4 linked regions of the Struthio camelus genome follow. The protein of the gene in region 1 interacts with the protein of each later gene in a pairwise test. Links are inferred from orthologs where the notes say so. Each region holds a gene or a part of one and is shown in the gene's direction. Other genes may lie near its edges. The genes, in order: NCK2, WASL, REL and ABI3.

What was found.
Region 2: the proteins of NCK2 (region 1) and WASL interact in binary tests that used the Homo sapiens proteins (3 or more experiments, as listed by UniProt). The two-hybrid records come from large-scale screens. The link is inferred for Struthio camelus from reciprocal best matches to the Homo sapiens genes NCK2 and WASL.
Region 3: the proteins of NCK2 (region 1) and REL interact in binary tests that used the Homo sapiens proteins (3 or more experiments, as listed by UniProt). The two-hybrid records come from large-scale screens. The link is inferred for Struthio camelus from reciprocal best matches to the Homo sapiens genes NCK2 and REL.
Region 4: the proteins of NCK2 (region 1) and ABI3 interact in binary tests that used the Homo sapiens proteins (3 or more experiments, as listed by UniProt). The two-hybrid records come from large-scale screens. The link is inferred for Struthio camelus from reciprocal best matches to the Homo sapiens genes NCK2 and ABI3.

What each region holds. Positions count from the first base shown.
Region 1 is NC_090942.1:154,295,167-154,302,970, forward strand, and holds the start of NCK2 (cytoplasmic protein NCK2), read left to right. Parts: upstream 1-4,793; 5' UTR 4,794-5,156; intron 5,157-7,804. UniProt on the Homo sapiens protein: Adapter protein which associates with tyrosine-phosphorylated growth factor receptors or their cellular substrates. Maintains low levels of EIF2S1 phosphorylation by promoting its dephosphorylation by PP1.
Region 2 is NC_090942.1:24,923,020-24,930,664, forward strand, and holds the start of WASL (actin nucleation-promoting factor WASL), read left to right. Parts: upstream 1-4,638; 5' UTR 4,639-5,108; coding exon 5,109-5,231; intron 5,232-6,397; exon of another isoform or gene 6,398-6,539; coding exon of another isoform or gene 6,540-6,620; intron 6,621-7,645. UniProt on the Homo sapiens protein: Regulates actin polymerization by stimulating the actin-nucleating activity of the Arp2/3 complex. Involved in various processes, such as mitosis and cytokinesis, via its role in the regulation of actin polymerization.
Region 3 is NC_090944.1:131,632,777-131,640,549, reverse strand, and holds the start of REL (proto-oncogene c-Rel), read left to right. Parts: upstream 1-4,772; 5' UTR 4,773-4,787; coding exon 4,788-4,839; intron 4,840-6,241; coding exon 6,242-6,384; intron 6,385-7,773. UniProt on the Homo sapiens protein: Proto-oncogene that may play a role in differentiation and lymphopoiesis.
Region 4 is NC_090966.1:5,218,399-5,225,920, reverse strand, and holds the start of ABI3 (ABI gene family member 3), read left to right. Parts: upstream 1-4,509; 5' UTR 4,510-4,527; coding exon 4,528-4,644; intron 4,645-5,566; coding exon 5,567-5,734; intron 5,735-6,491; coding exon 6,492-6,668; intron 6,669-7,078; coding exon 7,079-7,161; intron 7,162-7,272; coding exon 7,273-7,368; intron 7,369-7,522. UniProt on the Homo sapiens protein: May inhibit tumor metastasis. In vitro, reduces cell motility.

The sequences.
Region 1 (7,804 bases):
TGTGGTTCCCTGGGCGTATGTGGTCTAATTTAGTGGAGGGTCTACTGCTTCTGCAGCTGTGTCACCTACCGGATCTCTGCATAACTGAAAACCCACCCTGCTTCTCTTAAGTTGCCTCTCCCTGTGTGTTTTTCCCCATGAGAGGAGAATATTAGCTTGCAGTCCTGAGCAAGCTCCAGTGTGGGCAATTATATTTTGCCAGCATAAATTACCCTCTTCTTGCTATTCTGCGCTGCTCGTTCCGAGCTGCAGGGCGGCGCTGCCACGGGCTCCGGTCAGGTATCTGGCGTTTAAATCTAAAATCGAGACTGTGCTGCAGTCAAGCCATTCAGCAGCAATATTCTGAATTTCAAAACTGTACGAAAGATCAGTTTTAACCTTTGAATAGACTTCAAAAGACATCCCTCAGCACACTTTCACTTTCAAATAAGCAGGAGAATCAAGGGCCCTGACATTTCCAAAGCCCAAAACACGGGTTTGTTTTCCTTACAGAAATACACTGAACCTTAGCAACTGTCTACAAAAGATTACGATAGAATTTATCATAATACAATGTGATCTGCTGATAGATTTAGCTCGCAGTTTTACAGCACCTTTGGGTAGCTTTGGTCCGTTGAATAGGAGAATTTGGATGCATTTTGAGCTCTAAGGACACGTTCTTCCCCTCAATGTTCTTTGTAAATGTCATTGAAGATGCAGCAGTCATGCAGCAAGTGAGAAAAGCAGCTGTGTTACTGTCAGGCTGAATTAGAATCATTGTGCAAATATACTTAAGTGACTCAGCAGTAACTAATTGAGTATTTGAGATGTATTCTCCCCTCGTAGCGGTCATGTAATTCCCCTTTGTGTACATGGGAATCAAGCATATGCTTTAAGCAGAACCTATATGACATGTGGGAATGCATACCATTTAAGAACCAGACTGGGGGGAGAAAACGCACGTTAACATTGCTTTCAACATTTTTAAATTAACTTAATCACAAGTTGGGAAATTTTCTGAAAGTTGTTTTTAAGATGAACTTTTTTTTTCAGATGAGAAAGAATTAAAAGGTATGTTATTTTTTCCAGCGTATCTAGTACTTCCCTTATCTCTTCGTTTTCTTAGTGGCATAGAATTACAACCCCACATAAATGAATGGAGTTTATTATAACATCATCTCCTTTAAAAAGCAGTTTTGAGAAGCAGGAATAACAATTTTCAAAATAAATGAGTTTAGATTTAGGAATATTTTCTCTCCAATGCGCTGACATGGAGATACGAAGTATCTTCACTGTCAGTCTCTGAGCTGGACAATGCTGTCTTCCAGAATTTAGAAGGATGTTCCAGACCCTCCTTCTCACACTGGCCTAAGGCAGCCTGTATTAATTCATATGCTAGACAGAGCTGCTGGCGAAAAAAAAAGAAAGAAAGACAGAAGTATCTAGACAAAGGATAAGGTATTTGTGCAGAACGGGGAAGGAGTCCCACCTCAGAGGTGGCAATCGTGGCCTAGCCACTGTGAGGTGCAAATGTATTAGCATTTCTCAGATGTGTAAGGCTGCAACCTGTGGCAGAGACGGCGGCTGCATTGCCTTCCATGAGCAACCGACCGCTCCTCCGGGCGCGTGGTAAAGCACAGGTAGCATTACATATGAAACAGAAAATGGGGAGTCATAAAAAAAGAAAGGTAAAGATAAACAGGAAAGATAAATACAAATTTTCAACCTCTTGTACAAGTTATGAGTATCAAGATGAACTGACTGCCACTATGCAATCATGGAGTAAATCTGTCACACAACCTTTAGCTTTGTTGTTTGACTGTAACCCTATTCTAGGCAGGAGTACACAGCTGACTGCTTCTTTAACAAAGATGAAGAGAGAGCTTTCCACTGCCTAACCATTTTCTCCTTTATTTTTACTATCCAGTTATAGCCTTAGGCTGAGAGAAATATTCATGCTGTTCTCTCCAGTGTATATATTTTCTAAGGACTGCACCACTCTTATGCATATGCAAAAGTGTATACTTTGCATATTTACTTTCTTTATACAAAATACTGTGCCCTCTACATCATGTATTGCTTTCACTTCTGTGCAGATTCCCCCAAATTTATCATCTTCTCACATTCAGAATTTAATTCTGATTCAGATCTTTTAAGTAACAGTTATTCTAGAGATAACAGTTAATTATGATATTTCAAAATGTGTACATTAATATTTCAGTAGGCTCAACATTTTGAAATACTAGTCAAAGCAGCATGTTAGTCTTTTTGCTGGCGAAACAGAAGGATACTTTCAGTAGACAGGCTGTTAAAATACCTTTCAAAATACCATTCCAAACCCTTTTTACAGTATCTTTTCTTTGTCATAAGCCACAGTTTGGAAAACCATCTTTAATGGCTCATTCCTTAAAATAATTAAATATATTTAACAACAATAAGCTTCAGGGTCCTTAAATTAGTCCTTTGCATGAAGACAATGTGTTCATTTAAATCCCTCTTTAAAACATTCTTCTTCTATAAATCCTATTAGCAGTAATCTGCTACAGCTAGGTGCGCTTTTTAATTTTTTCAGACACCTAGAAAGCTTTGAGATCGACTGATCATTTGGTGTCTTATGTTTCTGAACCCTTTCAGAGATCTAATTTAGATTGTGTACTCTTTGTAGTCATGTCATCTTCCTCTGTGCATCCTCAGCACAACAGCGCAGCAGAAAAAAACAATGAAGCAGAAGATTTCTATACAGCCAAGTTAGCAGGGAGGGGCAAGATGGGACAAAACTGAAATTGGAAACTAACTGTATATTACAAATGTAAACTAGAGCAGGGATAATTCAGCTTTCCATTACTGCTACCCGCAGTGCGTTTTGCTCCGGGAACCACAGAGACTTATTTCTGAAAATCCTTGAGCAACCACTCCCATTCAAATTCAGAGTTCGCACTCGCAGGCTCCAGCCTTAAGGGAGGCTCGAGCAAGGCCTCAGCCCGCAGCGATGCAGCCTTCATCTGCATGAAGTGGGAGCACAGCACAATCTTAATTTCTATTCCTGGGACCCCAAATATTTTCTCAGGCTAAAAAAAGCGTTGTCCGATTATTGCTCAGAAAGGGAGATTAACACTTCTCAGAATCAGAGTCAAACGTGTGCAGCAAAAGACTTGAAAGGAAAGGGGCTTTCTGCTCTTCCCTGAGGGGCATGCAAAGTCTTCCTCGGAGGAAACAAGGGACCGCATTTTTCTTTCAGTTTTATCTAACAGGCACGTGAAAGGCAACTAGGACATCTGAAACCATCAATTAAACGTTGCAGGAATAAGTAAAAGTTAAAAAGAGGAAGAGGGAATTATTCAAAGGCTTATAAACTGTTAAGGAACACAAAAAAACCTCAGAAGAAGTAAGGTTTTTTTTTACATGTATACCGGAATGTTTCAGCACTAAACATCTGTGCGCTGAGTTCTGCCCACTATTTTTCCCTTGGTCAGCGAAAATAAGACAGTGCTCTTGGGGACTGCTGAATTTACTCCGCGTTTAGAAAAAGTGGCATTGCATATTATTGCCTCCAAAGCCAGGAAAAATGACCTGAAGAAAGACTAAACCAGCCCTGGCAAGGCACAAGCCTCTTCTCCAGAGCAGGCATGTGTGGAAGCTGGTTAATTGTTTGCAAGTTTCAGGCTGTTTCAAAGTGACTTCCTCTTGCAACATTGATTTTCTTTTCTAAACTCTCCAGTTCCCTCCACAAGGACAAACGTTTCCCTTCCCCTAGAGGGGACCCTGCCAGAGGATTGCCTGTGAGAAGAGGAAGCCCAGTTCCTGGAGGCAGGGCAGAAACTGTCCCCTACACCACAACTTGCTGCGACTGGCAGCCACACGAAGAGGGTTGATCCTTTCCACGACAGATTTCATTCTCAAAGACTGCTTTTTTTTCCTCCCCCCCTCTCTTTTTGGTCTTCTTTAACCATTTGTGGGAAAATCCTTCTTTGGCCACTCGTGGAAAATTCTTCCGGCGCTGCCCGCGCCATCCCCACTGCACGCGGTGGCGTTTCAAGAGAAAAACCAAGCGGCTGCAGAAGTCGGCAGGCAGCAGGAGCGCCCTTGTCCGCAGAGCACCTCCAGCTCCCGCCGGGCAGGCAAGCGAGCCCCGCGGATTAAAGCGGGAGGGAAGGCTGGGAAGTTTACAGCGGGGCAGAAAGAGGTTAAGAAAAATAAAAATAAAAATCAGCGGCAGCAGGAGAGGGGCCGCGAGGCGCACGGCAACACCGGCGGCGGAGGCCGCGCACCGCTCCGCGCCCCGCTCCGCGCCCCGCGGCGGGCCCCGCGGTGACGTCACGGCCCTCGGCCAATGGGCGGCGGGGGCGCCCTGATGCCAAGGCGGAAAGTTCCCCGCGGGTCGCCGGTTCGGTACCCCGGTCCGGCGAGCGCGGCCCCGGCGGCTCCTTCCCGGCGCTGCCCTCTGCCCCCCCCCCCCCGTTTCCTTTAAGCCTCCCGCCGGTACTTTCCCCAGCGCTTCCGCTGCCTGCCGAGGGGGATTTTCACTGGGGATGCCGGGTTTCCTGAGGTGTCGGGAAATGGGGGAGGGGATGGTGGGTTTGGGGGATACGAGGGGAGACCGTTTCCGCGGCGGGCGCAGGGCCCCGCCCAGCGGGAAGCCCCCGGCCCGCAGCAGCAGCGGCGGCGGCGGGGAGGCGCGGGAGGGCCGGGGCGGGCGGCGGCAGCGCTCCCGGGGTGCGAGGCAAGAGTTCAGGGAGCTCCTCCCGCGCCATCCCGGCAGCGGCAGCGGCAGGAAGGGCAGGGCGGGGGCGGGGGCTGTGTCGGGGGGGGGGGGCGGCGGGGGAGGGGCCGATGCTGCCGCCGCCGCCGCTGCCGCCGGGCGCAGCAGGCTGAGGGAAGGCAGGAGCGGAGCCGCCGCTGAGGGCCGGGGCCTTGGACGCGTCCGGCGCGGAGCGGCGCTGCGCGGTGGAGGAAGAGGAAGGGGAAAAGGGGGGGGGGAGGGAAGCCGGCCCCTCTCGGAGGACGCAGCCCGCATCCGCCCGCGGAAGGGAAGAGGGAAGGAAAGGGGTGAGCGAGCGGGCAGGCAGGCAGGCAGGCATCGCCGCCGCCGCCGAGACAAAGAAGCGGAGCCCGCCTGGGCTGGGAGCCTCCCCGCCGCTGCCATTACTAAGCGCCCCGCTGCCCGCCCGCCGGCCGAGGTAAGCGCGGCCGCGGGCAGGGCAGGGCGCGACGGGACCCGCCGCAAAGTTGTGGTGGCCGCCGCGGGCCGTTGGGGCGGCCGGAGCGGGGGGGGGGGGGGGGGCGGGGGTGGAGGAGGGGGGTGGGAGCGGCCGTTGGCAGGGCGAGGTGGGGCGGGGGGGGAGGGAGCTCGCGGCCCCCCCCCTCCTCCTCCCGGGGTGTGTGTGTGTGTGGGGGGGATTTACCTGCCGCGGGGGGGGGGGCGGGGGGGCGTTTTCTGTGCCACGTCCAGCCGCGGGCGTTGTGTGTGTGTGGGGGGGGGAAATGGAGGAGCAGAGGCGGCTCCTCCTCCTCCTCCTCATCCTCGCCGAGTTGGCCTGTGTGTGTTTGTGTGTGACAGCCGCCGCTTTGTGTCACCCGCCGTCCTGGCTGAGGGCCGGGGCGCCCCCCTCTGCGGGGGGGAAGGGGGTGTCAGGGCCGCCCCCGCGGGGCTCCGCTCCGGCCCGGCCCGGCCCGGCCCGGGGTGGCTGCTACCCGAGGGCAAAGATTAGGGAGATAAATAAAAATACTCGCCTAGAGATTGGCACGGAATAACCTCCGCCGACAAATAAAGTTGGCTTCGCCCGTGAGCTCGCGTTGGGCATGGGTAAATCTAGGGGAAATGCCCTTTTCTTTTTTTCCTCCTTCCTTTTTATTTTCTTTTGTTTTATTTTTTTTCCTTTTTCATTACGCGAGCCCTCTTGGGAGGAGGGCAGCCGGGTAGCACCGGCACCACCGTCAAAAGCGTTTAAAAAAAAAAAAAAAAGTTTTCTGGAGAATTATCCCTGGTATTCAGGGCATGGACAAAAGTGCTCTGTGTCCAAAAGCTGCTGCGGCGGCGGCTCGGTCCGGGGGAGTGGGCCGTATAAGTGCTTTAAAAGCGGTAGGTCGTTTCCATTAGTTAAATAAGGGAAACCCAGCGCCTGACACTGTTCGGAACAAAATACTGGAAACAAACGAGCTTTACCCCCTGCAGGGTGGGAATATTCTGGTAACTGTACCGCTATACTGTCGTTGCTTTCTCCCCCTGCCCCCCATTCCACTGGTTACTTTCAGCTTTAATAGATCTAAGCCTTCCCTTTCTCCCCCTCCGCTTTTTTTCTGAGGGATAGAGTGAACATTGGTATAATACGCCACATCAGTCGACACTGATGTTAACGTAGGTAAACGACAAAAAGCTGCAGCAGCACAACATAGGTAAATTACACCGTTTGTTCAAAACGTACCACCTCTCTGGGGCTATTGAGAGGAAAAATATTTGCGTTTATAAATCTTTTTACCCTGTTTTTAATTGACAGTGTGACCACACAAACAGCTACCTTTGCTGGCAGGTTGGGTACAGTGGCCCACCTCAGTTAAAGTTGTCAGATGAGGATTTGGCCTTGTAATTCAGGTTTGACTTGTGACCCGAATCATGTGTGCCTCTGTACTGTAGTTTGTATGCTAAGATCTCCCACTAGTTTTTTTTTATAGTGCATATGGCCTTCTGTGTTTATTAGAGCTATACTGTGAACCAAAAGTAGTTTAACTCCAAATCGTCCTGTTTGTTTGTTAGGTTAAAACTTGAACGCTAATTAAAGCTCAGCACAGATTTAAAGCATTGCTCCTCTGACTGGATTCAGTTTCTTTTACTTGCTCTGAAGCAACACTTGTTTCTGAGAGCCTACTCTTGTAACTGCTTAATGTAGGAGAATTAGAGGTCTCTTTCATGAAACATGGTAATGCCCTTATAAAAACAAATCTGCATGGCCTGACCACGCATGGTTTATATCACTGAGAGTTTGGCCTGGTGACTTAATATGGAGGAATTTGAAAGGGCTTACCGGGTGGGAGCTTATTAAGAACTTCTTTTCAAAAGTGCTAGTTCTACCACTGCTTTTTAGGGATCCTAAGCAGGCAGCACCATGTAGATAATGTTAATGCTACTGCGTTTTTGTTTTGAGGATTGTAACTTCTAACGTAAAATGACTTTGCTTCTTAGAAATACTGTTCTTAAAACTCTGGAAATTGAAATCTTCTGTCGGACCCAAGTAATAACATCTTAAGCTTTGTTACCCCAAGGAGAGATTGTTTTGTCTTTATAACTTTGTCTTCTTGAAACTTTGACAGAGGATGTCACTTTTGGGAACTGTGAATAAATGTAGAGATAGAAGGCACTTGTACCAGTCCAGACTGTAATTATCTGTTTCATGGCCTATGTTAAAATATTTTCTGTAGGCTGTAATTGTTCTCTCATTGCAATGTTAGCTGTTACATTGGCTTTTTACCTATAGTAGATGCTATTTCCAGTTGTTGTTATGATACAACGTTATACAAAATCTCCTTTTCTATATGTTTCCAATAATAACAGCAGAACTCTGCATGGTCGCCTGCATTGTGTTCGCACTACCGAATATCTGATTAATTTGAAACTCCAGCCCTTGGCTTGTTACTGCAATGAAAAGGGAACTTACTGTCCGTTTTCCCTCCTCACACTATTTTCTTCTATAGTTTCCTGGCTAGCTGTGTGAGAGTGTAAGGAAAGGTATTTGCTATCTTACGTGTCATCTCACAACTAATGTCTGCTAAAGAGGAGGAACAAGGTCAGCAGTCTCCTTTTTTTCCATCCCTTGTTTTTTTGTATCCTCTG
Region 2 (7,645 bases), about 130 Mb from region 1:
TTGGAGATGAGCTTTGATGCAAGGATAGATTCTAGCTAAGCTTGGGAAAGAAAAATGTTTTCCTCTGATTTGCAGAGCGGCTACAGAAATGTGCCACAGTTTCTGCAGCCAGCGATCAGCATACCTGTATAACAGAGAATTATTAAGAGGAGAGATAGGATGTTTCAGATACTAGTATGTGTTTTGGTCTGTCTTCTCCACAGCCCTGAAAAGGAGGATAATACAGTCCAATGAAGGAAGCAGAAAGGAGCTCTTGAAAAGAGCTAGGTCTCCCCCTGACTGATTTCACAGTTAAAACAATACCGCCGAAACCTTGCACCAGTATATCCAAAATATGATTCTTCATCCAAAGCAAAATCAATGTTATCCTTTGGTAAGCAGGACGGAAGGACACAAATTCTTCTCCTTCACCTTAAAGTCAACAGTCCGATATTGAAAATGAGAAGAAAGGATACAGCAACCAGAAAGAAATGAGTAACAGGCAATACAGGGAAAGAAAAATTCTAGCTAGTACCCAAGGCAGCATTTATGCAATGAATGAAAGAACTTACTGTCCTGCTATGTCGGTTCTCAGGCTTTAGCCTGCTCATTCCAGTGGCAAGGACGCTCTTCTGCGTGGCTGGCCCACAAAAGGAAACGATTCTTCCTACTAACCCTACAGGTTCATACGCATAAGGAATTATCAGAGGCTTTGCTGGATGATTAAAATAAAACTTAACTGCCAACTTTGCAACTTCTGTGGCTACTTCATGTCCTTCCGTGCCTGAAATGTTTAGTATATAAATTCAATAAATAGGAAAAAAAACAAATATAGACTCCTGGCTCTGTTTATTCCAGACTATTCCCTCCCCCCACTCCTGAACAAATAATCAAATATAAAATCTCTGTGAGAAAGGAAATACAGTAACTGCATCTGAAACTAACCATAAATTAACAGATGATTCAGTTACTTCCAGAGTAGGCTGAGATTCTTAAGCACTTAAAGGTTCAGTGCACAGAGAGCAGAAGCGAATGAACTTCTTTTCAGTATAATAACTAATATGCTATTTATATTGATTCAGTAACAATCTGAAACCAATTCTCTTAGATGAGTTCTATGTTGAGAGAAAAAAAAAAAGTGGTTTACTTAAAAAAGGGAACTTGTATCTTCACAAATCAAACATTATTTTCAACCACAATGAGAGTTCCTTTTTTTTGGTTACCACAAGTGGTTTTGCAGTAAATGGACCAGCGAACTCTACAGGCACAACCAAAAAGGGTGCTCAAGGAAACAAGGTCTTCTTTCCTTTTGCCCAGACTTTTACTATCCTGTTGACATACCCCTTAAACGTGGTGACAGTAATCATACATTCTTACTTCTCTTCTCCCCCCAGCCATATTTATGTGGTCACTGCAACGATGTAGGCACTTGTACTATGCTGTTCCACTTCTCATTGAATATAAAATGGAAGAGAGACGACAATATTTTTTTCCTATTGAGATCTTCATTCCTCTTTAAGCCTGCTTATTCTTCGTGTAATCAACCACCAAAGACTGCGTGACCTAAATTCAGTACTGGGACAAAATCAAGACTTGGAAAATGCAGTGCCACTACTAAAAATAAACAGACAAAATCCTTGGTGAACTGCTTCCGAGTGGAAACATTTCATCTCTTTCATTTAGATAATTAATTGTTATGTTTTAGAATGTGACCCTCACAAAACCTTTAAAATATGCTATGATTCACAGTGCTAGAAAGATCAACCTTAGGTAGAATGCTTTCCTCTCTTTTTTGCTTTTATTATTTTCAATTGCAGAATTTTATTTCTGAAATTGTATAAATACGTAAATTCTGAAATTCAAAGCACGCGACTTCAGAATAGTTATAGTATTCAACTTGTGCTTGTGACAAACTGTTGAAAAATGTAGACGTCCATATGTAAGGGTAGAATTCAGAGACATATATTTCTGTCAAAGGTATGTTTGACAAGGATAATAATTGTTTATTAAATAGTTGTTTACAATATAAACCTTTAAAATCATTACACTTGCTTATATCAATAGATGTATGTCACTTTCAACGTAGCTCAGTACCTTGGGACTATGAGCTGGTATTTTAACAATTTTGAAAGAAAAATACAAATGAGCATCAGGCTGCCGCAAAGCTTGTAGGAGTCAGCAGTGGGCAACGCAGTTTCAACCTTAGGGACTACAGTGAGAAATTCAGAGCAAAGCCTATGATAAAGGACAGCAATTTCTCTAAGACAGGTCAGCCAGAACACTGCAATTTCTTTCAAAGATAGCCAGGTAATTCTGGTTTGTGGCTTTGCTTAAAAGAACTTTCCTTGAAATTGGATGTGTTACGCAGAAATAGCAGCTCTTTGCTGGTATTACTGCTAATGTAAATATCAAAGGCAAAAATCTATTTTTCAGTGGGTCCCTTGGACTTACGACCAACTATTGATATTTCCATTTCACTTCAGGACTCACTCTTTTGCCATGATATAAAAACAGAAATGGCTTTTGCATAATTAATGAAACACAGCAGTTGAAAATAGTCCCCCCTTCCCACCCCCCCCTTCCTGTCTACCCTTAGTAAAAAAAGCAAACAAAATCCTAACAACAGAGTCTGGTTAAAGGGCCCTTAAGAATAGCTACTGGCCAGCTGGTCTGAGAAGAACACTCACTATGAAGCAAAAAGTATCACCAGTAACAATAAAACTTTATCTGGATGCAAAGATCCATACAACAAGGAATAAACAGTTAACATGAACAAAAATGAGAAAAACATCACTAAACTTAACGGGTCAAGGTGAGGAAAGTACCTATCAGAGGCCTACCATATTTTTAATTCAGCTATTTACATTGTGACCACCAATACAAGTACATACATTTCCTTGGAAAGGGTTTTGGCTATAAAATAACTCATTGCTTTATGAAACAAAAAACAAGTGCCTTGTAAAGTAGTTCATATCTGTTATCTTTTCACATACGTTCTCAATGAACGAAATGCTGCCAAAATTCTAATACACTTCAACTAAAATATTTCCCTTTCCACTAAAATACATTCTAAGTCTGGATACACTTACACGGAAAAGGAATTAAAACTGAATAATAACCTATTATTGCTGAAATGTATGTTGTAAGCATTTGGGTCCTATTCAGTGTTTTTCCTTTATAACAAAGGCCCTAGCCACTTACATGACATCTGCACATTGAGGAATGCTGTATATGCCTTTATTTTAACCTTTTGTACTGGAGGCTCAGGATTTTCCCCCATACATTTCCCCTTCCTCACACTTTCAAACACTGTTACAGGCTCTTTTAAGTAAGGGGAAAAGGGCCTAGAAGCAGTGCAGAAGGGTTTGCCATTTGTTCCCGCCTGATCTTTTGGAAGATGTGAAGGAAAGTCAGCACAACTGCGTACCAAGATTTGTGCTCACACGTTCTCCTCCTGTGCTTGTTTTTTTTTTTTTTTTAATACAAAGTAAATCATCACAGGAAGACTGGTTTGGCATTTTCCAGATGCACAACAAATTTATCAGAGAGGATGAAGTCAACCTATTCTTCGCTTAAAAATACTGAGAGAACTAGCAGGGTGCTCACTTGGACATCTGGCTTTCACCTTCATACTGGGAGGAGCATGAGCACTTCTCCTGCGGAGCTGCAAGTCGGCCTGGGCAGCGGGCAGCTGTGCTCTGGACTGCAGGGCTTGGAAAGGTCTTCAGCTCCATCCTGGCTAGCAACTACTGCACGGAGAGAGGCAGAGGGAACAGAAACCTAGCTGGCAAAGCATACCGACTGCGTACGCAGCTCCTCTGCGCTGACCCCCTGGAAAGCCTAAGTACCTGCTACTATTTCTACTTGCTATTTTACCTCAGACTGCAAAAGCCTGTGTTTAGGAGGGTAGAGTCTCGCACACCCCCTCCTACGTCTCTGTGTGACCGAGCACGGAGGAGCTGCCTCTGCGCAGCAAAGGCTGCAGGAATTACCCACCCCGCGCAACACAGCTTGGAACAGCAAAACTGACTGGATGATTTGCCAGATAAGCCATCAGGAAACATTTTCCTTTCAATAACAAACATTCAAAGGATTTTTGAGTTATAAATTAACTCACATTTGACTAAAAATTTAACAGGAATTCAACCCTGGCCTTCTAACACGCTCTTCATCACCTCCATCCTCAAAGCACTGCACGAAGCCAACCACACTGCGCGCTCACGTTGGTAACGAACTTAAGCAAAAACGACAACGGCGGAGGGGGGGGGTTTCACCACGAACGCTTTTTATGCCCTGTCCCGTTCCGGGTGACTTTTGAGTACGGGCCCGAATTTTTCTGACACGTTTTCCTCACACGGGTGGGCAGCGGCGGCTACCTCGCCGCCTCAGCCCCCGCCACCGCTCCCCGTCCGGCCCGGCCGCCGCCTCGCCGCCAGCCTGGATTCCGCTCCGGGCCCAGCGGCCGGGCGCGCTCCTCCCGGCCCCGGCCCCGGCCCCGGCCCCGGCCCCGGCCCCGGCCCCCTCCGCCAGCAGCCGCCGAGCCGAGCCGGCCCGGCAGGTATTGAGGGGGGAGGGCGCGGGGCGGCCCCCGCCAGCTGCGTGAGCCAGCGCGGCCCGCCCAGGGGCTGCCGGCCGGGGCGGGGCGGAGCAGGGCGGGACGGGACGGGACGGGACGGCAGGCGGCGGGTCCCCGCACCGCGCATGGTAGCGGCGGCGGCGGCGGCAGCAGCGCGCTCGCCGGCCTCCCCTCTGGCTGCCGCGCGCTGTGGTCTCGCCCGCCCCCGCTGCCATGTTGGATTGTGCGGCCGCCGGAGCCGGGCCGAAGTTGGAAGTTTAGTGGCCGCCGCGGGGGTGGGCGCGATCCGCCGGCGGCGGCGGGGCGGCCCGACGCCTCCTCTCTCCCCTCCCCTCCCCCGCGGGCCGCCGGCAGCTCGCCGAGGCCCGGCCGCCGCTCTCCCCCCGCCCCCTCCCGCCTTCCCCGGCCCCGAGAGGGAGGCTCCGCGATGCGGCTGCCGTGAGGCCGCGGCGGCCAGGAGCAGGACGAGGAGGAGGGGGCGGCCGCGGGCGCCGACGGTCGCAGCGCGGCGAGGGCAGTGCCGAGCCCCGCGGGGCCGGCGCCGGCGCCGGCCATGAGCGGCAGCCAGCAGCAGCAGCAGCCCCCGCAGCCGCGGCGGGTCAGCAACGTGGGCTCCCTGCTGCTGACCCCGCAGGAGAACGAGAGCCTCTTCACCTTCCTCGGCAAGAAATGCGTGGTGAGCCCCGCGGGGAGCGGCGCGGCGGGGGGGGGACCGGGCCCGGCCCGGGGCCGGGGCCGTGTGAGGACAGGCGGGGGACCGCGTCCGGGACCTTGTCCGCCCTCGCCTCGCCTCGCCTGGCCGGCCCGTACGCGGCTCCCAGCCCGGAAGTTTCTCCCCGGCCCAGCCGCCTTCCGCGTCGCCGGCGCCCGGGCGGGGGACGGCGCTGCAGGCCCGGCCTCCGCGCCCGCCTGGCCCAGGAGCTGCGGCCTCGCGCGGGGCCGGCGGCGGAGGAGGCGGAGGAGGAGGAGGGCTGCGGGCGGCAATGAATGAGGCGAGCGTGGCGCTGCCGCCGCCGCCGGCAGGGGAGAGGAGAGGAGGGAAGGGGAGGCCGCGCCGCCCGCAGGTGGCGGGGCCTCGCCCGCGCTGCCGCGGCCAGAGGGGGCCGCTTCCCGCAAGCGCTGCGCCGCGCCGGGCCCGGCCCGGCCCCCTGCCCGTGCGGGAGCCGTGCGCGCTGCGGGGGCGCCGGGCTGGGCCGCTCCGGGCCTGGCGCCGCCGCGGGCTGCGCGGGGCCGCTCGGCGCCGGCCGTTTCTCCGGGCGGCCCTCTGGAGCGGCGCCGGCAGCCGTGCCCAGCGCCTGCCCGGCCTGTCCTGCGGGGGGCGGCGGCGGCGAGCCCCCTCGCCTCTGCCCCGCGACCAGCCTGCGGTTTGGCCGAGGGGACGGGGCAGCCATGGAGCTGCTGCAGCAGCACTCGGTGGAAGAGTTTAATTGCCTGACGAGGCTGACATGAGTCCCGGTTGCACCTGTGGTACAACAAAGCAATACTGACAAAGTTGGAGGAAGGCTCGTGTGGGTACTAGGCCTGCCTTGGATGTAGCCTGTGCTTTTGTTAGCCTGATCAACAGGCTTGCATCTTTAGCTGCAACTTCAATACTGCGTTACTCCCTGTCAAAAAAGAAATGCGATATCAAGATTAAAAAAGGGGTGGGGGGGGGGAAAGGTGTAGTAGATGTGTTCCCAAGTTCATCAGTAAGTTCTTAGTTTCTTGAATAGCTTCTTGCCTATTAATATAATGTAGTTATGAAGTATAGTTTTAATATAATTTTCAGAGCTTCAGGAGTTAACTGCATATATTTTTTCCTAAAGGACTTATCATTTTTCAAATTATCTTTTTGAAGCCATTTTAAATGATGCTATCCTGATGTTTTCTGATACTTCACGTCCAGTGCCTAGAACAGCAACGTTAGGCACCTACACCTTCTTGTGGCACTATTTTAAAGCAGGATATCGGTGTCATCATAATACATAACCCTGTGGACTTTGAAATGGTGCTGTTGATCAAACCGGTTGTTGCAAGGAAGGAAAGAGATATAACCGAACAGGAAATGGGTGATGTTTGCATTGGGGTGAGTTAAGTAACATGAGGTTATCATAATTAAGTTGCTGCCATTTTCAGATGGGTCAGAAAGCGTGATTGTGAAATATGTAAAAAGAGACTTATGCTAAAAAGTAATACATTTGTAAGAAACACCTTTATCTCACTACTTGAATTACTTTCAGGCACACATTTCATGCATTTCATTCCATTACAAGAAAAAAAGTAAACTGTTGTCTATATTAAAAGGAAGCACATGAATTTGTGTGCTTCAGTTGATTTCCAGTTGTTTTTTCTGTGGCTTAGATTTTCTTGTCAAGGGAATGTGTCTGTTTTTGTTATGTATGCTCAGCTGTAACGCTCATCTTAAGTTTTTGAAATGTGTTATTTATGGGGATAAGTTAAACCGGCCTCAAGGTAAACAACTTCATAGTGTCTGGATGATGTGTGGTTTGTGACATGTTGATAGCTTTATAGATACAGGGTTTTTTTGTTTTTTGGTTTTTTTTTGAGACTACACATTCTTGCCATTTAGTCTGAATCTTGAATGACTTTCTAACTGAGAATTTCTTTTTATTATTTTTTTTTAATTATGGCCACCCCCTTTACCCTTCTTCTCCTGCCCTATATGTTTTCTAGCTTAAGGTCAGGCATCTTACTGTAATTGAGGGTCTATATCATATGCTTGAGGACTTGGGTCCAGAAGACTATCAAAGATAGTACTCTAGACTTCTTGGCTTTCTTTAGCATGCTGAGGCAAAATTGTGGCAATTCAGAAACTACTTTGTGAACAAATTGAACACCTCTATCCCAGGGACAGCAGTGGATAGGTACCTGGGGATGATAACAGCTTCGACTTTCCAATTTGAATCCATCAAGTCTGACAGAGCTGTATGGTACTCTGTATACCGTTGATCTTCTAATTTGAGTACAACTCAGTGTCAGTGTGCTATGCTATTTTTTTGTTTGTTTGTTTGTTCTTTACTATAACATTATATTTGATATTTTAGTAATATCCATGTTTGGAATTAGTCATTATTGAAGCTTTAGACAGTA
Region 3 (7,773 bases), on another chromosome or scaffold:
TGTGGTTAATTCCTATATATCCTGATAACCCATGGGTTAAAATAAATAAATAAAGGTAGTCAAAACACCAATTACATACCGTGCTTGAGTGGTCTTTGATTTTCTTGTTACTCTTTAGGTCTTTCTTTTTCAAGAATATCAATTTATTTAAATACAGTTTTTGCCTGTGGTGGTGTAAAGATTTTTTTAAAAACAAAATCTTATTGTTGTGAGCTACGTGTGTGTCCTACCGCTATGCTTGGTTGTGATGTCCTGCTGCATGCCTCCCTTTACAGTGTCTGTGCCCCCCAATTTGCTTGTGCCCCAATTTGTTACTGGCCCCCGCGCAGCGGGTGTATCTGATCCACGCTGCGGGGTGGGCAGTCCTTCCCACCCGGTTAATGTTTTGCTAGATTTGACCTAGGGCCAAGTTCTGAGATTCGTGTCTGATCTGGATCGGAAATGCTCCGAAAGTTAGTTACGTTTTAAGTTGAGGGTTGTGATTTAACAAGCTTTTTCTCATACTAGTTTTTAGTTACCTTCATTTTTATCCCCAGTATGTGTAGCTTTCTGGTACCGGTGGCAGCATGTGCCTGCTCGGTGCCAGGGACCTGAGGAGAACAGGGATCGTGAGGGGGCTTGGTGCCTGGAGGCCAGGGACGCTGGGAAAGCAGAGTTAGAGGATGGTGTGAGGACACTGGAAAAGCGGGGGGCGATCCTGGCCGCAGGAGCGGTGCGCCGCACGCGGAAGGCTCCTGGCGAGGGGGTGCGGGCCCAAAGGGGGGCGAAGGGCATGTGCCAGCTCGCGGGGTCCCGGGCTCTCGGCCTCAGGTAAAGCACCCCGGTAAACGGGATGGGACGTCCTCCTCCTTTTCCCTGCCGGGTGCCCAGACTGAGAGGGAGGCAGAGACGAAGCTTTCAGGGTGGCTTTTAACTGCCGCGGGAAGCTGCCGGGGCTCAGCAGCCTTCGGGCCGTTCGCCCAAGCGGACGGGCGCTCTCGGCGCTCAGCGGGGGCCGGGCCGGGCCGCTCCGCTGGCCCCCCCGGCGGCGAAGCTCGAGCGCGGGGGCGGCCCGGCCCGGCCCGGCCCCGCTCCGCCCGCCGCCCTGGGGCGTTTCCGCCGCCGCCACCCCGCGGGCGGGGCGGGCAGCGGGGAAATCCCCCCCCCTCCCCCGCGCCGGGAGGCGGAGGCAGCGCGGGGGGCCGGGCCGGGCCGCGCCGCCCCCCGCCGAGGTGGCGGCCCGGGCGGGGAGCCCCGCGGCGGCAGTCGGCCCGAGCGGCTGCGCGGAGCTGTCAGCATGGCCGGTGAGTGCGGGGCGGCGGCGGCGGCGGGCGGGCGGGCGCCCCTGCTCGGGCAGCGAGGGGCCGGCGTCTGCGCGGCGCTGCCCGGGGGGGCCCCGGCCCCTCGCTGCCGCCACCCCCGCCGTCGATCAAGGCGGCAGGGCAGTCGGGGCGGGGGGCGGCCGGGTGACCGTGCTCTTCGCCCCTCACCCCAGCGTCGGCTTTGGGCCTTAAATCCTTGCCCGCCGAGCTTGTTAAGTGGGCTTAAGGGGAAAAGGTTACGGAATAAAGGTCTCGGGGCTGTCCGGATTTTAAATCCGAGTCTTTTAAATCTTAAAGCGCGTCGCTGAAACGTTGAGGCGTTAAGTAAGCAGGTCTCAGGCCTGGGGCGGACGGACGGACAGACATCAGTGGGCCAGGGACTCCTCGATGCTCGGCTGGAGCCTCTTCACAGGGGAACTTGCTCCTGAGAGTGCGAGTGGAGAAGGAGCAGAGATGGTCTAGACGCAAAGTGACGTAGATAAGGGAGCTCGTTAAGTTTGAGTAATTACATCAAAAAGCACCATTAAGTTTCTTTAGTCTAAATTGAACTGCATCTTTAAAAAAAGGAGTTCTCTGGCATCGTTCTTTGGGATTAAAAAAATCTGTTTCAGACTCGACAGTGTTAGTTACAGTGGTGTTTTTAGGGAAAGACGCTCTCCAGCCTCCGAGTTAATGTGTGTGTTCTCTTGTCTCTTACCAACGTATAAACTTTGTGCTCTTGATACGCGTGTAGATGCTCACTATCAATTGAGAAATAAAATTAGTGGGTTTGTATGGAGGGTATCTTATAAAGGTTACATATATGTGTGTGTGTGTGTATTTTTATAATGGCTAAACTGAAGCAGAAGGTAGCACTTTTTTCTTATCTCTAATATATTTTCAATGTAATTAGGAACTAGATAAGGAATTTTTCAGCGGGGGAAGTTCTTAACTTCCTGGTACTAGCAGCTATTGTAGCTGGGTTTTGGTGTGTTTTTTTTTTTTTTTTGGTTGCTATTCTGTAATGTCACACGATAACAAAGAGGAAGTTCATGAGCAGTTCTGTCTCTGTTTGACTCTGCACAGTTTATGAAGTCCTAGGTAGGTTACTGCTTTCTAAAATATATATGTGTTTACACTTTGGGTTATTTTAGATGGAGCCAGAATGTTCTTCAGCAAATCTTGTACCATGGTGTTTTTTGCCTGAGCTACTGCAGGAGGTTGTAAGTGTTTAGATTGCTCTCACTTTTTGGAAATGGCTTTTGCTTTGGAGTATACAGAGTCACCAGAGTTCTGCACAGAACAATAGTACTGGAGTTAAAGGGCAGCACTTTTCCCATCTGTGTCTTACTGCACTTACCTCAAACCTGATGTTTTTGGGTGATGTATTCACATCTTCCTCAAAGGTCGTGTTCGAGTTGGTCTTGTGGCCCACGCCTACTTTGCTTGCATACTCAGATATTGCACAAGAATACGTTCACAGGTATTCCATGCAAGAAAACTACAAATTATGTGGTCCTTCCAGAGCCTGTTTCGTTTGAGCAAAGCAACAAGAGGAAACATGAATCCACCGTCTAGTTGTCCCTCTACCTGGTGGCATTTTGTCTTCCTCCAATCTCACCACACCTCTAAACGTCCTCATCCCAAAGGTCCAACTAAGTCTCCTCCACTGCCTCAGGAATTCTGCTTTATGGATACAGACCCTCATTTTAAGATGAATACTTTGCCTATTCCTCTTGCCTTGCCTGCAACACGCGTTCCAGGGTAAAAAGACTTAGTCTTTGATAACTCTTCAGCAGGCATGTTTAAAGAAGTTGCTTCTGAATGGAGGAGTAGGAGATAGGTAGGAAGCCTTTATTTATGTCCTTTAGTTTTAATCCTAATGGCTTAGAGGGTGTTAGACTTTAAACTGTCCCAGGTTTCTTGTCTTGGGGAGGTCTGATGGTCTGTTTTGATTTTTTTGGATGATTGTCCTTTTGTACCTTTTTGGATTGCTCCTACAGTTCAGAATATAACAGCCTTTTGTTCTTGAACGAGTGTAAGCTGGCTAAACTCTCAGTGCTGTTACCTTTTTTCCTTGCTTGTGTAATTGGGACACTTGATCTCCTGCATTTCCTTTTAAATTATTTACTGGAGCACTGATGGGGGGGGCAACAATTTTACAATGAAAAGAGGCAGTTTGTAATATGTAGCGTAATATTTCTACTGCTGGTACGTGCATAGGCAATTATAATCACAAACGCAGATGAAACTCTAAAGCTCTGTCTCCTTAAATGAAGGGTTAGCTAGATTTTTGTTTTGCTTCCATTTCAAACCCTTGGCTGAGTAGATGCGGGCAAATAGGTAATATAAGGAGCCTTACGTTTCTCTTACAGGATTGGTGGAAGAGTGTCAATTTTTGACATAGCTCATATTTCTTTGACAAACAAAACAAGATCTCAAAAGGACAGTTCTCCAGCAACTGTGTGTGTGTGTGTGTAGATTATGAAATAATTAAACAGTGCCACTTCACAAGTACATTGCTTATTTACAGAAATAGGGAACACTGAACAGACCTCCACTTCACTGCAGAGTGCTGATAATACCTTTAGTTCACGCAACCACTTTTATGTGTTTCCTCTCTACACAAGACATGATGACACTGATAAATAATTGTGGTGGAGATAATAACATGATTCTTAAATAGAGAGAGTGAGAACCAAGATAAAACGAAGTTTAATATTTAATCTCTGGAGGCTACCGCGTCACTGAGCTTAACTTTCCCACAAACACACCTGCTGTTAAGCGGTGGGTTTGCCTTCAATGACATTTGTTTCGACCGCAGTCCCCTAAAGATCATTGAGCCCAGAGTTCTAAAATACTCAAGTGCTCTTAACGGGTGAGAAAAAAAAGTCCTCTTAAGCGAGTATTAGTAAGTAGAGCGTGAAGGGAAATCATTGGTTAAAGCAGAGAGAGTTAAAGACTTGAAATTATTGTGTACTATAGCAATTTCACACAGCAAGGCTCTAGCTAGTTTTGACAGATACGTAAGGTATGTGGGTGTGTTGTGGGTCTGTTTAGCAGCTATGCAAGCATGTGTCTGTCTCCAAAGAAAGAAGATTATTAGGCACTTTACTCCAGTTTTGTCACCGTAACATCTAAAATAGATTTTTAATTTAATATATAGATATATGTCTGTATTTGTGATACGCTGTGTTATCTAGGGATGGAAAAGTGAGATTCTTTTCTCTCCTCGCTTACGTGATGGAGATGGGAGGCTAATGAATACCCAACAGTCACTCTTCTTATTGTCCACTGGACCGACCTGATATATGTGTTAGCATAAGTAAGTTTTACGTGTGAAAGTTGCATAGTCGTACACTGATGTGTGGGCTTGACTTTGTGAGGAGCTGAGGCATCTGATTGCTCTCTGCAGCCAGCTTTGCACGAATTCTAGGCTTTTTTGTTAATACTGTCCATCCATCCTCACCCTTTGCTGGATTTGCTTGTTTTCCAGAAGGAGAAAATATGAAAACTTATCTGAAGGATCTGAGAGGCACACGTAAAATTGCCCATCCTTGTGAGTAACTGGGGCTAGAGTAGTGGCTGAGATGTGTTTAATGTGACAGCGCAGGGTCTGTCTTCCGAAACTGACTTAAAATCTACTGGATGGAAGGTGATCAGTTTTGTTATTGCCATTTTGATAAAAGGTTAGAAAGCAACGTGAAACTGTCGTTCTCAGATTTTGCCACCAAATACAGCCTGAAGTTGAAATGCAGTTTGCCCTTCAAAAGGCATTCAGCTGACGGACTTTGGAAAGGCGGGTAGTGTTGAAGGCAGTGCCAGCATCAGAGCTCCTTTCATGTGCTGCCATTCCATAGCGGTCTGTAAATGTCTTCAAGTAAAACATACATACAAGTAAGAGCAAGGTGACAAGTTGTGTTCTTCTGATCGTGTAACACCATGATGATTCAACTTCTACAATATTTACTTTCCCTCTGTTATTTGTTTTTCACATGCCATCCCACTGTTGTCACTGTTTGACTGACTATCCTGTTGGCTGTTCTCAGTGAGATATGTTCGATACCTTGAATATATTGGCTGTCAGTAAAACATTACTTTAAAATAGCGAAACTCATGCTAAGTCAAAAGTCTTTCTAAACCTTTCATTAAAAACAGCTGCTGTCTCTCATTCTTGTCTGTCACATTTCCTGAAAAGCCTCTTTTGACAACTGCCCAGTAGTCTTTACTAAGATGTTTTCTGTGTATGGGGGATCCTGCAACCAGAAGCTAGCCCTGTGGGAAGTGGGCAGGTCAAACTGCAGTACCAGCAATCGTGTATTTTCTGAGACCCTCAGTGATGGTACTCAACCAGTAGCAGTGGGTGTGGGGGGGTTCTGTATTTTTTTTTCTGTTTTTTTTTCTTTCATAATTTGCATAGTTTCTGCTTCACTATAATGGGAACTAAATCAATCGATTCTGAGGAAATATCTTTACTTTCAGAGGCTATTCAAGAGAACATACTACTGACAGTACCTGTACTTTGAGAGGACAACCATTCCTAAAAGTGTATTGTAATTAAAAAATATCAACTGTTCCCTTGAAATAATGATTTTTTTTCTTCTGTTGTATAAAATCCTCTTTTATCAGACATAATTTCTTTTAGCTATTAGAGAATTTAAGTTCCAGGGGAGATGGGAGGGAGGGCAGAATCCTCTGCTGATTATTTACATGGCATTGATACCTGGACACTTCATTTTAAATCTGCTGTCCCCTCCTTACCCCTCACCTTTGGTTGCGTGTATACACATTGAAAGAAGAGTTGATTGTCTGACAAGGTAGACCAAATGAAATAAAGGTAATAATCAATAAAAGCATCTGGATTTTCTAATTCTTATGTAGCAGCTAACCATGTAGCTTGCCTTCTGCTGCTTTTTAGTCTCTACTACTAGCATTGAAAGTGTTTCATTTTTTTTTTAAAGGTGGCCCTGAACCCTACATTGAAATATTTGAACAACCCAGGCAAAGGGGAATGCGTTTCAGATACAAATGTGAGGGAAGATCAGCAGGCAGCATTCCAGGAGAACACAGTACAGAAAACAATAAGACGTTCCCTTCCATACAGGTAATACTACTTTTATCCAGGATTATCATTGCCCACATTAGCATTGTACTGTAGCTATGCGTTTGATTTGATGCAGTAAATAAAGAGGATGTTCCTCATTTCATGCTGTGCCAGTCTTTCCTGGGCATCCAAATGTAGTTGAAACAGATTGGAAAAGGAGTTCTTTGCTGCTGGTCATTAAAGATTTTGCTCCACATTTAGCAGAACAGAAGATGATGTACAGGTAGGTAACAAAGCACCAGTACAGAGGGAACTCAAAGTAATGTTACTCAGTGTTGGAGAATCATTTGTTTTTAGCTTTTTCTGTATGTTCGCATGTTCTGCTTTCTTAGTTTTGTGCCTTGGGTTTAATTTAACTGTTTTGGACTGTAATGTGAATTTTGGGAGGGCTCTGAAGGAGGCTGTCCGTGTACAGATTTTGAAAAGGCCAGTCTCACTGCTGGTGCAGCATGAAAGAAAGTACTCTGTAGAAAGGAGTAAAGTAAGAAAGTGACTTGCAGCCAGTGATTCAGTGATTAGTTTCTGCAACAGAAACTACCGTGAAGTATATGAAGTCAGAAGGGGATACAGAATTTAAAAAGGAGCTGAGAAAGGGGAATTATGTGGTCAGAGCACCTGCGGGTGAAGAAGAGCTGGGTGGTTGCATTAAGGATAGGTTGGGAAATCCAGAATGAAGGGATTCAGGCTAGTCCTGGCAGCTATGATCAAAGCAGAGACAAAGGTATGGACAGCGGAGGTGGATGGAAGTGTTTTGGAGATGTTGTGAAAGTTAACTGCCAATCTTGCTGTTGTTTCCTTTACATGTGGGACAAAGGAATGTGTCTGGGAAGTCCTAGATGGGTAGGGTAATACAGAAGAGTTTTTCTGGTTTGCTATTTGAAGTTTTAAGTTGATAGGTTTTCCTTTATCTCTTACAATCTGGAGAGAATCTTTGAGAGTTGCGATAAGAACAGAAAGTTCAAGTATAAAAGGGAAGTCATCAGTATTTGCAATCTTGAAGTATATTATGGTCCTCAGGAATGGAAGCTGTGCGTCTGTGTGTCTGCAGTGTGTGAGAGTGTGGAAAGAATGGAGCTAAAGATGGAGTCTTTGGAATTGCAGCAGAGAGAGAGATACAGGGGAGGTGAAGTCTGAAAGATATGGGATGTTCTAAGCTGAGGCATAAAAGCCTCAGCCTCCTCCTTGAGAAGGGGAGAGTTTGAGAACGATGGTATTGGCAACGGGTGTGCTGAGCAGCAGAGTGAGCTACTACGCAGAGCGACCAGGCTGGCCTAACCCTGAAGCCAGAATCGCTAAAGGAACAAGCAAGTAAGAAGGCAACCCCTTGGCTAGCGTAGTGCCAGAGCTGGTGAAGGAATAAGGGAAACTATGGAAATCTTGCTCAATTGT
Region 4 (7,522 bases), on another chromosome or scaffold:
TTCGGGGCGTCCTTGGGCCTGACCCCAGTGGCTGCTGCGGGTCTCCCCTGCTCCACGGGCTTCCCGGAGGGACTGTGCCAAGCGGGACTGCACCGCTCATTAAGGCACCTCCAGATGGGAACAAAAGCAATATGCTCACCTTCAAACTAGTGCCAGCCCTGTCTCTACGGTGCTCCCAAAGCCCCGGCGGCTGCCGCCTTGCCTCCCCGCGGTGCACGGGTGCTCCCCCGAATGCAGGCGCATGCAGCAGGTGACACCTACGCTGCCACCTCCTCCCAAGGCTCCTGTCCCGCAGGAGAAGGGAACGGTTTGTTCATGCCCTGAATTTGTGGCCCTCAGCTCTGCTATGTCTAAATCAGACACTGTGTGTATGTAGCCTCTAAGCAGAGGAAATTTGGGCCCTGGGGAGGTGGGGCTGGGGGTCAACCTGGTGCTCTATGGCTGCTGCGAGATGGCAGGCTGGAGTCGGCGGTGGGGCACGGTGCTGCCGGACCTGCCACGGAGCGGGAGCGTGATGGGGGATCTGCAGCAGAGACGGGGGTGGGTGCTGCCTTGGGGGAATAAAAAGAGTTGCTGCTGTTTGGAGTTAATCAGCTGGGATTGTTTTGGGGAGGTTTCCTAAAGATAATATGCATGTGTAATAGATTTAAAAAAAAAAAACCCCAAAAACTTAAAGCGTCACTAAGTATTGTCCTACTGAATGTGGAAACTGGCTGCGTTCCCATCCGATGTGCTTTGTCTATCGAGCAGGGGGCTGCAACCTGCTCTTGGGAGCAGCAGGATTGCTGCCAGCGTCCCTGGCTCAGGGCTGGGCCTCTGGACAAGTCCTGCCTAATACCCGGGAGCTGCTGAGCTGCAGAAGTGGGGGCAGAAGTGTGCCTGCGTCGGCCCCCTGAACCACCGGCTCCTCCCTGTCTCCACTCCCCACCGTGGGCTGGGGCTCTGCAGCCCCTTCACCCTTCCCAGGCCCTTCTCCACCACCTCCGCGTGCAGCGAAGGATGTGGTTGGAGATGGAGCTGCTGCTGAAGCTGAGCCCTCGCTCAGAGCTGCTGCTATCGCAACCGGGACCTGACAGCCTTGTGCTCCCACGGCTGCTGGGGGTGGCGGGGGTTCCCCACAGAGGAAGTGAGACTGAGCGGCAACGGTGAGAGTTTCGAATAGGAAGCTTGGAGATTTGCTCTTTCCCAGGGGCCCTGTGTGCCGTGACATCCCCCCACCGTGCCCCGGGCCATCCGTGGGGTCGAGCCGTGAGATGGGGCAGGGTGGGTGCCAGCCCGTCCCGCGAGCCCCTCGCGCCGGGGTGCTGCCAGCTCTCGGGTGCTCTGCCCTCCCCTGCCCGCTTTGGAGGGGGCAGCCGTGTCCTAAGGGAATGGCTGTTTTGGGGGTGATGTGCTTGAGGCAGAATGAGCCTTCAAGGGGGAACAGGATGGGGCTCCGAAATATCATCGCTCTTCCCAAATGATTGTAGTGGGCAGCCTGGTTCACCTGCCGGGACGATACCCGGGGACCTGGGGAAGTTTCCCAACCTAAAAGCGCTGCACTGGGGAAGCGGCGCTCTGTCCCAGTGAGCGGGGAGGGGGCTCAGCGCCTGCTCCAGCTTTGGTGGCTTGCAGAAGGCTAAGCCCGGACGCGCTCCAGCCCTGCAGTTTTGTTAAAGCCCCGTTTTGCTGCTGGCTGCTAAAACTGCAGAAGTTTTGCTTGCAGGAAACGAAACTTCAGTCTGCTGTGAGAGCACAAACGCACCCATAGCTCTGGCTGTTGAACCTCATCTCCGGGGTCTGTGGGTTTGGTTTTAGTTTTATTTTTTTTTAATTTGCCTTTTTTTTTTTTCTTTTGTCATCCTTTAGCTGTGCTACATTTTGGGTCTGGACTCCCCTCCCCAGTGTGGGGTCAGGCTACAGGGAAAGCAGGTTTCTTACAGTCTCGGCTGGGTCGCGGGAAGGGCCCCGGGCCCCGGGCCCCGACGGCGGCGGGGTCAGCTTATCGTACAGCCGCCCTTCTCCTTGAACGGGTTCTTGTCCTCGGGGACACCTTTCAACAGCGGGTCCTCTCCCGCCATGGACTCGATGTATTCCTTGAGCTCTTTGCCGGTCTTGGAGATCTGCCGAGCAGAAGCTCCCCGTAGGTTACAGGGACAAAATGTCACCGCAGAACAGCGATCCGACTCGTGGGCTGAGCAGATCCCCGTTCGCGCAACAGGCGGGAGCGCGACCCTACAGCCGCCTGTCGTCGCTCCCGTGCCACCCAGCGCGGGGTGCGGGTACCCCCGCAGCACCCTTGGGGAGCCCTGAGAACACCTGACCCGGTGGCCCAGTGCGACCGAGTCCTTCTCGTAGGATCGCCCCAGCTTCTCGGAAGAGCTCGCTCGTGCCGAACTCCTCCGTTGGCAAACCCGCAGCCCCGGGGGGAACTTGGGTGGAAATGCTTACCATTTGCCTCTCATTCTTCACCTCCTTTTTCAGCTGATCAAGTTCCATCTTCAGCAGCTCCTTCTCTGTCATATCCTGAGCCATTTTGCCCTGCGACGGCAGAGAAACGGCCTGTTATTAGCTTACAGACGAGCTTCTCGGGTCCAGGCACGCCGGACCCGTCACTTTGGCCCTAACCATATCGCCGCCTCTGTTAATGGCCCAGCTACGAGACGGGTAGACCCTGAGTAAATGGGTTGAAGCTAAAAGAGAGGGAGGGTGCACTTTTCGCACCACTTATTGTAACATCTGTAGAGATGGAACAACCCAGAGTCCTTCCACTAGCTCGTAGCAAGCACATAGATGTGTTGCTTGCACCTGGCATTTGTAAGAAATACATGTACTTCGGGAATTCAATAAATAAAACCGTCGCAGATGAGGAGAAAGACTTTCTAGCTAAAGCCAAGTTTGGAAAAGGATGGGACCCTCCAAGGTAAATACCATGGACTACATCCCTGCGTTGCTGTTTGCAACGCAGCGCTTGCTGCGGGAGGAGGTTTCGGGGCTTCGCGCGCTCTTTGCAGAGACCCTGCCCACGGGCTGCGCGAGATCCCCGGGGCAGCCGCCCTGCGCGGTGGAAGAACCGGTCCCGCGTCAAAAGTTAAAGCGGGGTTTGAAAGCCGCGATCTTTTCGAGAGCAACGCGGCTGTGATGCCTTGGCGTTGCTTTGGCAGGCGTCGAGCCTGCGCGCCCCCAGGGCCCCGACGGGTTGCTCCAGTGGGTGCCCCGCTCGCGGTGGGTGCCGCCAGCACACCGGCACCGGGAGGCTCTCGCGGAGGAGCCGAAAGCCGCAGCAGCGGCGCGACCTGCCCATGGCGGAGGTGACTCCCGAGCCAAGCGAGAGGCACCAGCGACGTCCTCCCCGCTTGGAGGAAGCGAAGCCCCTTACCTGCGGGGACGAGGGTCTCCCGCTCTGCGACACGGACGCGTTTAGGGATGCATCAGCCTCCGGGCGCTCGCTGCCCTGCTCCGGGCTTGAAGACTCCTTCAGGTCTCCGAGCCGCCACCAGGCAGCAGATGTCTTTGCTCCCTAATCTGATAATAGACTCAGGCGAATAAGCTGGTCAGGTGTCGAGCATTAGCCTCGAAGGCCGGGGTGCTGGGGGGGGGGCGGCGGCGAGGCTGGGGGCGCAAGGCAGGGGCGCAGCAGAGCACGGCGGCCGGGGGGCACGCGGGAAGCCCCCGAGCGCGGCCGGCGCTGCGGCTCGGGAGCGACGGGAGCATCCCCCGCGGGAGCCGGAGCCCGTCTCGCCGAGCGTGGGGAGGGGAGAGGAGCGCAGCTGGGTTTCGGGGCAGGCCGAGGGCCGCGTCCCCTGTGTGCCCAGCCCGGGTCGGCCCAGCCGCGTCCTTAACTCTGCCCCCGGGCGCGGCGTGGGGGGGGGCGCTGCTCGCGCCTCGCTCGGCTGCCCGAGGTCTAAGACGCGGCGGCTGCTGCAAACGCCCCTCTGCGCCCGGCGAGGCCCCGGCGGCCGGCGCGACCCGCAGCGAGGGGTCCGAGGTCTTTTTTTTTGGGGCAGTGAGCAAGGCCTGGGAGTTGAAGCGGGAGCCTTGGGTACCTCGCTCGCCTGCGTGATAAGGAGGAGCTATCAGTTTCTAGTACGCGCGGGGCTTTGAAGCGCTGGTCCTGCCCCTGCTGCTGCAGCGGCGGCACGAGCAGGGCAGGGCAGGGCCCTTCTCGGGTGCTCCCGGGCACCGGCGCAGGCCAGCACCCGCGGGTGGCAGCCCGGGATGGGCCGACGGATGCGGGGATGGAGGCGAGCCGGCTCGGCGGCGGCCCCGGCGGGGGGGGGGGGGGCTCCCCAGGCTGCCGCGGCGAAGCGTGACTCACATCCTTCCGCGCCGGGAGCGCGCGGCAGGCGCCGGCGGGACGACCGCTCGCCGGGCGCTCGGCCGCTGCGCCCTCCGGCAGCCGCCATGTGAAGGGTGCCGGCGGCGGGCGGCCGGGCCGGGCGGCGCGCACCGCTCCCCCCACCCACGCCCCCGGGGCCCGCGCCGCCCCGGCGTCAGCTTCGAAACCGCGCCGGAGAGGGAAGCGGCAGGCGAGCGGCGGCCGGCGGCATGGCCGAGCTGCAGCAGCTGCAGCAGCGCGACATCCCGGCGGCCCGGCGGCTCCTGCGCGACAACCGCAGCAACCTCGGCCAAGTGGCCGACTACTGCGAGAGCAACTACGTGCAGGTGCGCGGGGCTCCGGGTGGGGGGCGGCACGGAGGGGCTGCCCGCCGGGGAGCTGCTCCCCGCGCACGCGGGGCTCAGGGGTGGCAGATATGCGATGCACCCTCGGGTACCGGCGGGGGGGGTTCGGGTCTCCCCGTTGGCTTCCCGCCGAGCGGTGCTCGCCGCCGGGAATGTGCTGGGCTCGTGCCTCAGTTTCCCCTCTTGCCCCCCTCTGCTTGGGAGGGCGGCTGCCCTGCTCCGCTCCGGGCTGCGCTCCGGGGGCTGAGCTGCGGAGCGGAGGCGAGGCAGAAGCTGTCTTGGCCTCAGAGGGGTTTCGGTGCCTCCCGAGAGACCCTCGGCGAGGACCGTGGGTGCAGACCCCCCCCAATCGCACAGCGGCAGCAAAGCAGCCTCATCGGGGCTGGGGACGGGGGGGGTTCCTGGGGGCCGGGCCCCGGCCCACGTCTGCAGCATGGCCGCAGCCCCGTGAGCAATTAAAGCCCAGCCGCCCGGCGGACGAGAAGACCCCCGACGGCGCCGGGTGGCAGGGCGGCGCGACGGCTCGGTGGCGGGGAGCGGTCGGAAAGCAGAAGGAAACGGTTTCTCCTCGTACCGTGTGAAAGAGAAGCCGGCCTGCAGCGTCACGTTGGGTCAACCCCAGCTCCCCCGCCAGCCGGGCTGGGCGGCGGGAGCCCCCCTGGCGCGCGTCCGGCGGGCAGGGGCCGACCGCAGCGCCAGCGCCGCCCGCGGCGGGGTGGCTTGCCGGAGCCCGGTGGGCTCCCCTGCCTGTGTGCTGGCGAGGGGACGGTGCCACCCCGCCGCCTTGGGAGCGCTAAGCCAGGCTGCGTGGAGCTCGTGGGGACCCTCTCAGCTCCCCGCCCAGCTGGGTTGGCGTTGGCCAACTGGTTGAGTCGTCATACCAGGGTGTGTTTTTGTCTCCCAGGCGAGCGACAAGAGGAAGGCGCTGGAGGAGACCATGGCCTACAGCACCCAGTCCTTGGCCAGCGTGGCTTATCAGATCAGCAACCTGGCCACCAGCTTCCTCAAGATGCTGGACCTCCAGGCGGCCCAGCTCCGGAGGGTGGAGGCCGACATCAGCTGTGTGGCCCAGGTGGGGCCATCTTAGGCCATTTCCTCAGACTGATGCTGTCTCCTCGTTGCCTTGGGGTTGGGTCCCTGGGCCCTGAAAAAGGGATGATCTCTAGGAAAGGAAGGGGGGGGGTCTGTGAAGGCCGGTAGAGGTGGAGACCACTGTGTGAGCAGTAGCAGGAAGTCCAGCCCTGCAGGAATAGCCCCACCACGGCCACGAGGTCCCCGCCGGGTCAAGGATGTTGGCTCGGTCGCCCAGGCATCCCGGGGGCCCGGCCTCATCCTCCGGGAGCCGCGGCCGCCGGCGCGGTGCCCTGCAGCCGCCCGCCCTCTTCCTGTTACTTGAAAGTCGCCTGGAGGCTTTCCTGTTGGAAGGATCCCGACCTACCGCTCCGGAAGCAGCAGGAAAACGGATTAAAGGCGGCCGAGACGCGCGGCCCCGTGCCTCCGTGCCCTTCTCCGGCCCGGCCGCCGCATCCGCTTTAGGAAGGGCCAGCGCTGCTGGTGGCGGCGGTGGTGGTGGGGGGGGGACGCGGTGGTGGGTCCCCGCTGCCGCAGAGCGGATCTGCCCCCGCGGCGCTGGCGGGGCTGCGGCTGGGCCAGCGAGCGGCGGCTCAAGCCCACGTTAAGCTTTTGCCCCGGGATGGTCCTTCCCTGCTACGCGTTGTTTGGGGAGGGCTGGACCCACGGGGTGGTGGGACCTGGAGGTGGCCATGGCTGGGGGGGGGGTCGGGAGGACCCAGCAGGGCTGCGGCGGGGGACAGTGCCGGTCCCCGCAGATGGTTGACATGCACAAGGAGAAGGTGTCCCGCCGCGAGATCGGCTCCTTGACCGTGGGCAAGAGGTTGCCGTGCCAGCAGAAGATCACGGCTCCCGCCAACCCGCCCAGCCTGGAGCCCTACTACAGGAAACCCCTCAACTTCGGCGTCCTGGACGACGTCGGGCACGGCGTGAAGGTCGGCCGGGGAGGGGGGTCAGGGGGGGGGGGACGCGGCGCGGGGCCAGGTGGCAGCCGAGCTCGGGCGGCCGCTTCCCGTTGCGAGACCGCCGGAGGGGAAGCTGCCGCCGCCGTTCCCACGGGGCCAAGGCCGCCGTGGGCGGCCGCTTCGGCCGCGAGCGCCCGGGTGCTCCCCGGCAGGGCCGCGGGGGCTGGCCACGCTCCTCCGGAGCCCCCAGCACCCTGCCGGGGCCGCGGGCGATCGGGGGGGCGGGCGGGAGGGGGGGGCATTGCGTTGCTTGAGGGGATTGCAGCCTTGTTTGGGGGGGGGGGAGGCGCGCCTCGGTGCAATGAGTTTGTCGGTCGGCAGCCCGTCGGGCCTCACCGCTTGGTTGCTCCTCTCGCTCTGTGTCTGCCCTGCGCCCTCAGGACCACAGCACCCAGCTGTCCCGCACGGGGACCCTGTCGCGGAAGGGGATCAAGTCGGCCGTGCCGGCCGCGGGCACCCTGGGGTGAGGCCACGCGCCGGGATTTTGGGGGGGGGGGGAGGGCGGCTTTGCCTTTCGGTCCCATCCTGCCCCGCCGGCACCTCCGGCCGGGCTCAGCACCCTCCCTGCCCGCAGGAGGGGACTGCGCGTCCCGGAGCCCATCCAGCCGCCTGTGGTCCCCGAAGGGAAACTGTCCGCAGCCTCCTCGACCTCCTCGCTGGCATCGGCCAGGTACCGGCGCGGGCCCCCCCCGCGGTGGGACGGTGCCGGGAGGGCTGCGCTGGGGCACGGCGCCACCCTGCTCCTTTTTGGGGGGGGGAGTGGGGGGGGCTTCTGCCCGCCAAGGTGTTGCCGTGAGCAAGCGGGTTTTGGGCGCAGGCGACGC